Drosophila melanogaster: one gene and its partner. The protein of the gene in region 2 interacts with the protein of the main gene of each other region in a pairwise test. Each region holds a gene or a part of one and is shown on either strand. Other genes may lie near its edges. The genes, in order: DNaseII and CG12171.

The links.
Region 1: the proteins of CG12171 (region 2) and DNaseII interact in a two-hybrid assay, tested with the Drosophila melanogaster proteins (one large-scale study listed by BioGRID).

What each region holds. Positions count from the first base shown.
Region 1 is NT_033777.3:18,017,374-18,021,947, reverse strand, and holds DNaseII (deoxyribonuclease II), read right to left. Parts: upstream 2,574-4,574; 5' UTR 2,536-2,573; coding exon 2,432-2,535; intron 1,873-2,431; coding exon 876-1,872; 3' UTR 787-875; downstream 1-786. Other genes in the region: CG7785 (uncharacterized protein), read right to left, coding at 129-234.
Region 2 is NT_033777.3:5,631,524-5,635,319, reverse strand, and holds CG12171 (uncharacterized protein), read right to left. Parts: upstream 1,694-3,796; 5' UTR 1,629-1,693; coding exon 855-1,628; 3' UTR 680-854; downstream 1-679. Other genes in the region: CG31546 (uncharacterized protein), read left to right, coding at 1-552; CG31549 (uncharacterized protein), read right to left, coding at 2,151-2,924; CG31551 (uncharacterized protein), read right to left, coding at 3,287-3,796.

The DNA of each region.
Region 1 (4,574 bases), about 12 Mb from region 2:
ATTGGGGTATCACTTATTATCGAAGCTACATATCTTTTGGAAAAACACATTAGTTCTCTCGCAATCGCTTCAGTTGACCATTTTAAGGATAGTGTATCTTAATCCTTCTGAATTTAGTGTAATTTTACCCATATGCGCTGCATCCAGGTGAACATCGGGCTCCCGCAGGCGACTGGTTGCCGTCGGTTTCCTTATGTGTCCACCATTGAGACAGGTGCGTAGGCAGCAGAACATTCCCAAATCTATGAAGGTTTTCCGACTCCGAATCTAGTTTTAATTTGGATTTTTAAAAATCGCCAATAATTTTCGCTTCTTCGCTTGGTTTTGTTTTTGTAAACAGCTGTGCTCTTTTTCCAGCTGATGGTCATACTGAATTTGCATTTTCTGGTATATGTGATAATAATGGGTAGAAGAGTGACGGATAGGTGGCGCTATAAATGAATAATTAGATGCAACCAAATGCAATTGACACATTTGTAAATAATTTATACATGTTTGTTGATATTTCAATGTTTTTTTTTTTTGGCAAATAGTTTAGCAACAGCTATAGAATTAAGAAAAGTTTAAGTACGAGCGCCACCTAGTTTTCAATGCGCTTTTTAGTACCTAAAATGTACGACAAGAGTGCGTTGAAGAAATGGCGCTAGCGAGTGTCCGGAAAAGAGCAGAAAGAAAAAGAAAAGAAGTTGCACGGCGCCTTAAATTTAAAATTTAAATTATTATATATTATCTATAACAAATGCAAATAAGTTCTTTGTATAAATAATACCTCTTTTCAACATCTTTCAATTTTCTTATGCATTAAATGTAATGCAAAAATGGTGTTTATTTAATTGTTGACGCAACTTTACAAATAGTCTTAGTTAGTTCAGATTCTATTCCTGTTGGGCGCACTTGTCGTAGTTGGTGACCAGTTGGCGGTACAGATTGGATACCCTGGCGCTCTTGTGGCACACGGTTCCACCACCACGATGCAACTGACCTTCTTGCCGGTTGATGTCGCCCACACAAATCCAATCTCCGCCGCCAACTCGCCAATGGTAGATCAAAATGCCTGTGGGACGAGATACCGCCCACTTGGAGTGATCTTGTGTGGTCTTAAAGTCCACCGATAGCTCCGGATTGGAAATGGATTCCACATTGAGAACCTTATCGGACTTATCGCAGCTATTCGGTAAGTTGCCGGCACCGTCGCGCCACGCCTCCACAAAAAGACTGACATCCAGAGTGGGTGCGACCACATCGGCGTACAGCTCCACATTGGCGCGTCCACTCTTGCCAAACAGCCGGAACTTCTTGCCGTCCAAGCTGCGCACCTCCAAGTCCTTCTGGAACGGTGATTCCGTCCGCCACTGACCATGCAGAGCCCTTTCCAGGCTCGGGAACAGCTCATCGGAGCGAGTGGCCAGCGGGTTGCGTTGATAGTAGAAGTGCGGTTCATTGTACACCAGAATCTGACCAACCTTCTCCAAATCCTCGCCCTTCAGTGTGACGCAGAGCATGCTCTGTGCGTACTGCTCGCCGGATGTGGGATAGCTGTAGTCCGGAATTGTTGGAAATTTGGGCACCGAGTGGACAATCCAAATAGCCGTCTCCCCATCACTGGCCACCACTCCTTTGGCATGACCACCGCTGCTGAAAACCGTGCCATTCGGCTGTTGATCGTTGTAGGCGGCCAGCAGAGTGTGGCTGGGATCGTCGTTCAAGGGGTTAAGGGTCTGGGCAGGCAGCGATAGGGGATCACTAATGAACTTTCCCGACATCTGCCAGGTGTCATAGTTCTGGCTGGTCACGTACAGGTACTTCAAGCCACTGGTGTCCTTGCCCAAATCGTTGTGCTGGTAGTGCTTGGGCAGTTTGTAAAGGTGCCACCTAAAATTATAAAGGAATATTTGAAAAAAAATTATTAAATAAATTAAAAACATGTTTATCTCATCGAGAAAACCCCTCAATCTTTGGAAATTTGTTTTTAAGATATTAAAAAAAAAAAATAATTACCATTTAATCTATTTTTGGAAATGGAAAAGTATTAAAAATGATGTTATTGTTATCAAATTGATTAAGTTTGTTTGTAGCAAACAACTTTGATTTAAATCTCTCATTTTAGGAAACAAAATAACACACTAATTACTTTTTAATTTCTTGTCACACAGTATTGTACAATTATTATCAATTTTTCCGCTTGAACTTGAACTCATCATATTCAATTTGTTTATCGCCTCTTTTAGAATAATCTCAATACAGCAGTGTATATAAATAACTAAAATACGTTGTGTTTGCAAATTGTTAATGATATGCAAACAGCGACTGCAGATAAATGAAAAAGTATGTGAAAGGCCAATATTTATAAGTAACTTTTCTAATAAGCACATTTAGTAATGTTTTAAGAACTAAACTATTTATTGTTTGATCTGTTAATCGAAATACTTACCAATCTACATCGTTTCCAGCTTCATCCTTACAGGAAACCTTAGACTTAGCTTCGTTTTGGTAGAAAAACCAAACGAACAGCAAAACGAAGCACAGAGATCGCATTGTACAACCTTCAAGTTGCTCGGCCGGAAAACAACTAAATAAGTGTCAGTGAATCCAATCCAATCAACGGCTGTGCTCATACAGGGTGTCTCAGTCGCAAATTGAAATCCATCTTAATCTTTTTCGATTTCTTCACCAGGTAAAAACGCTTGAATCGAGTGAAAACTGAGATCCTTGCTGTTTGTCTGTTTTATCTAAAAGTTGGATTTGTAAATATTTGGTCGTGTTTGGGTTTTTAACACAGCCTATCGCCACGTTGTCTGCTATCTGAGGGGTCAGCCACTTATTGCAAAAGATCAGTCGAACAGAGAGGTCGCTGATAAGCCAAGCGCACTAAATGCGGCTACAACGAATATATTATACTCTACTAAATATGTTTGACTTCATTTTTATGGATATTATAAGAAACTACTAAGAATCTTGTCCAATCTGTAACATATTATAAATACTTACCCATTTCACCATCATCACATAAACATCCCATTCATCCCACTGGCGGTGAAAAGAACTCCACTTCTTTACAATTACACAAAACAATTGTTAAAGTTTTTATTTATTATTCGTATTGTATTATTATAATTTGTCGCCTGCTGAAAACTGCAATTTGTTGCTCTTTTCCCCGTTTGCATTGCAGGGCATATCGTTTGTGCTTTCCTCCTCGATCGTGATCGCATGAAAATATTATCGTTATCAAATTGTATAATTTGTCTTGCGGGCGGGCGAGCCCATCTGCTAATATTGAATTATATTGGAAATAAACTGTCTGGTAAATTAATTGAATTCAACTTCGTTAGTTCTTATCGCTGGTGGCTGTCTGTGAAAAAATGGTTCACCTTTCATTCTGTTTCGAATTTCCTCTGATCTGCTTTGATCCGATCTGATATGATATTATCAGATGATATTATGTTTTTTTTTCTTTTTGTTTTGCCAATCGGTTGGTATTGCCATTTAGATTTATATTTAACTTAGGTGTACCGATTTGTTATGTCATTTCTTTGGTTTCGTATGCAACAATACATTTAAACTCACAATACAATATTTTCGCTAAATATTTTTTATGTATTTTTTTTTTTTGTATCAATTTTTTCATAGTTGTTAATAATTTATTAATATTTTGTATGGTTTTTCATTTTTTTGGTTTTTCAAATATATATATAAAGAACAAGGCTGATATTTATATTTATATATATATATATACGAGTTTTGTTTCTGTTTTATGTAAGTTTTATAATAATATTTAGCTATACGTTTTGGTTTTCATTTGCTTGAAAAATCAATTTGTTTTTTACAATATTAGCAAAGATCTTTATTCGATTTGAAAAAAGAAGGTCGTACTTGGTTTCGCGAAAATGTTAAATAAATGAGCCTCAAAATAGACAAATACTTGCCATTTCTTGTATTTTTTTTTTTTTACTTTTAATATCTCAATTAATATTAATCATTATTTTCGTATTATTTACGGATAAAAGTAGACTCAACTGTTGAGTTATGCAAATAAAATTGCATTTCCCGTTAGACTTTCGGCATATTTAATAATTTTATCATTCTCCTTCTTTGTTATTTTTGAAATTTGCTGCGCCTAATTTGCGCCTGCTTTTCATTAATATATATATATATATATATATATATATATAGTGTATATATATGTGTATATATAGTTTTAATCGGGCACGAGTTTGATATGTTTTGACTTGTGTTATCTTCATTTATCTGCCGGTATTTCGATACCTTTCTCTGCCTTGATATTTTCAATATTCAATATCAGTTACCTTTCCTACTTAACCCTCTAAAGATACTATACATATGTCTGTCTGTATAAGATATAGATATGCATAGTATTTAAGTATTACAAATATACAGCGATTTTCTCAGACCTACCAGGTTGAGTACAATGCCATTCTAGTTGACTCTCCCGCAAATGACTCAAAACTTGAAATGGGGAGAGCGATGCATATATGTGGTATTAATATATGTAATTGTATAGTTGGTTTTAATTTTCTTGCAAAAATTGTCACTAATTCAAAATTCGTTTCTTCAAA
Region 2 (3,796 bases):
CGGAAGACCACGGAGCGCTACGAGGGCAAGCTGGATGTGCTGGTAAATGGGGCTGGCATCATGCCCACGGGAACGCTGCAGAGCACGGAACTGGCCTGCTTCACCCACGTGATGGAGGCCAATGTGCGTTCTGGGTTTTATCTGACCAAGTTGCTGCTGCCCCAGTTGCTGCAGTGTAAGGGCAGCATTGTCAACGTGTCCAGCGTCTGCGGACTTCGCGCTTTTCCCAATCTGGTGGCCTACAACATGTCCAAGGCGGCGGTGGACCAGTTTACCCGCTCCCTTGCCCTGGATCTGGGTCCCCAGGGTGTTCGGGTGAATGCGGTCAATCCGGGTGTGATTCGCACCAATCTGCAAAAGGCGGGGGGCATGGACGAGCAGAGCTACGCCGAATTTCTGGAGCACTCGAAGAAGACCCACGCCCTGGGCCGGATTGGGGAGCCAAAGGAGGTGGCGGCCGCCATTTGCTTCCTGGCCAGCGAGCTGGCCAGCTTCGTGACCGGCGTGACCCTTCCTGTGGACGGTGGCAAGCAGGTCATGTGTCCGCGCTAGTCTCTGCTAGGATATTCTATATGATCATCTGATCCTGTCCAGACGAATGTCTTTAATTTTCCCTTGTTTTCCGCCGATTAAGTCCATTACTACGAACTTGAAAATTTTAAGTATCAAATTAAATCTTGCGTACGTTGCCAATTTTTATAGGGCGGTTTTCATTTTATTTATTTCTAGCAAACTATTACATTTACATAGAATCACATCCTTGAAAAGTATTTGAAATACACGAGGTAAGCGCGCTACTTTAATTAAAAATAAAAAAATAAGATAAATGCATGCATGGATAAAAAACTCCGTTCTTATCTGGGGCACATGGCATGGCGACCGCCGTCCACGGGCAGGCTGATACCGGTGCTGAAGCTGGCCTCGTCGCTGGCCAGGAATGCAATGGCCGCAGCCACCTCCTTGACTTCGCCGGGTCGACCCAGGGCATGGGTGACCTTGGCGTGCTCGAGGAACTTGACGTAGGCTTCCTGGTCCAGTCCACCACGACGCTGCAGCTCGGTGATGATTACGCCGGGATTCACGGAGTTCACACGCACACCCTTGGGAGCTAGCTCCAGAGCCACGCACCTGGTGAACTGATCCACGGCAGCCTTGGAAACATTGTATGCTAAGACTCCGGGAAAGGAACGGATGCCGTTCACACTAGACACGTTTACAATGTTGCCCTTGGTCTTGATTAGCTCCGGTGTGACCAGGTGGGTCAGCTGGTAGAGCGACCGGACGTTGGTGTTCATAACGCGGTCAAACTGCTCCAGACTGGTGTTCTCGATGCTGCCTAGCTCCAAGATTCCGGCGTTGTTCACCAGCACGTCGATGCGACCGTGCTTGGCCAATGTGGCGGAGACGATGCCCTGGACGTCGGACTCGCTGTTTATGTCCGCCGCCACCTGGAGTGCTGGCGCTCCTCCAGCTGCCACTATCTGCTCCGCGGTCTCGTTGAGCTTATCCAAATTCCTGCCCACGATGGTGAGCAGGCCTCCCAGTTTAGCCAAGAGCACCGAAGTACCCGCTCCAATTCCCGAACTGGCTCCGGTCACGATTATAACTTTATCCTTGAAACTGGGCATGTTGAAGTGATCCACTCGACGGTTTAACTGATAGTGATTGGTGACATTGAAGACCCGACCCAGAAGTCAACAATTCCCGGGCTGCAATCCGATTACGCTATCGATAGGCTGGAACCTTCCAAGCTACACATTTCCAGTGGTTGTGAAATTCAATTAAATTTAATTAACTGTTAATTTGTTATTTTATCCAACTACTATGCATATACATATGTATGTATGTATGTATATTAATAAATAGTTGAATGTATGTATGATCAGTTTTTAATTTTAAGTGGTCACCTCTTTAGACAGAGAGGTTGTGAGAGTTTTTGACAATATAATCAGCTATTTGGGATCCCAGAAGAAGATAATAATAGATTATAGATATTTTATCAATATATTAGTTTATTATGAGAGGAAAAATCCAAGAAATCTTAACTGCGCACTTTTAATGTATTGTGTTGTATTTTAGTCGTGTTCTTTAAATTAACTACTGAAAATGACGCTAAATTCGATAAATGCCACCATTTGCTCATCCGCATCCTATCGCGGGCACATGGCGTGACGACCTCCATCGACGGGCAGACTGATTCCCGTGGTGAAGCTGGCCTGATCGCTGGCCAGGAAGGCAATGGCGGCAGCCACCTCCTTGACATCGCCAGGACGGCCCAAGGCGTGGGTTATCTTGCAGTGTTCGAGGAACTTGGCATAGGTCTCCTCGTCCATGCCGCCACGCTTGTGAATGTCAGTCACAATCACGCCGGGATTCACGGCGTTTACGCGGACTCCTTTGGGGGCCAGTTCCAGGGCTATGCAGGCCGTGAACTGGTCCACCGCTGCCTTAGACACATTGTAGGCCAGGACACCAGGAAAGGCACGCAGTCCACAGACACTGGATACGTTTACGATATTGCCCTTGGTCTTGACTAGCTCTGGAGTGGCCAGCATGGTTAGTTGGTACAGGGAACGCACATTGGTGTTCATCAGACGATCGAATTGCTCCAGGCTGGTGGCTTCGATGGAGCCTGTCTCCAGGATGCCCGCATTGTTAACGAGCACATCGATGCGACCGTGCTTGGCCAGAGTGGCGCCCACAATCTGCTGCACCTCCGCCTCCTTGGTCATGTCCGCCTGCAGTTCCAATGGCGTTGCTCCTCCGGCCGCCACAATGTTGTCGGCCGTCTCCTTCAGCTTCTCCTCGTTGCGACCCACGATGACCAGGAGCCCTCCGAGTTTCGCCAAATGGACGGCGGCACTTGCTCCGATGCCGGAGCTGGCGCCGGTAACAATAATCACTTTGTCCTTGAAGGATGACATCGTGGGGTGTTTCTTTTACGCTAAGCGAAGTTCGATCACTGGAAACGATAGACAGACATCTAAGAAGAAGCGCAGTTCCAGCTGGCAAGTGATAGCTTTTCCACATCAGCTGTGGCGGAAAAGCTTATCGAAAAGCTCTCTCTCTAGCGGTTGGAATTTTCAAAATGTGTCGGTGGAAAATAGTTTTTGAATTTTGGAGTGCTGTGTTCAATCAACCAAACCTTTTCCACTCTACCCCACGCAAATAACTATGTATGTACACAATTTAATTAGGCTAGCCCTTAATGTAATTAAAATAGCTGGTAAGATCGAATTTCAAAAGGAACGAAAAATGAAGCCATTAAAAAAAAAGGAAAATTAAATCAATTTTGTTTCCAATTCACGCTAAACCGCTGATCCTTCCACTCCCTGTAGAGACGCTCGATGCTTTGGAGTGCGGCGCACAACAATGGGTCTCGCAGGTCGCAATGATCGCGAAAGAGATCCCTGATCCCTCGCAAGGAGTCACTGCTGCTGGTCAGTCGATCCCACAGCCTTAAAGTCTGCTCCTCGGAATTGCGACATACCTCGGACAGTTGGCGACTTTGTAGTTGACGCTGCTGGTCCATCAAGTACTTGGCTCTCCGCCTCAGAGCTCCTGCACCTCGTTGTGCAAAAGCGCGTCTAGAAATCTTCTTGAGGTGAGCCTTCAGCTCATCTTCCAAATTGGTAATTTTGTACGCGAGGTCAGGAGAAATGGACTCGTTGGATGTAACCACAGTTAACATCAGAGTCTTAAAGATTGGCCTGGGAAATAGCATAGTGCTATCGGTCTCTTGCAGATAGATCTGCTCGAGCTCTACATTTTCCAGAGATTCATTCTCTTCCTCGGA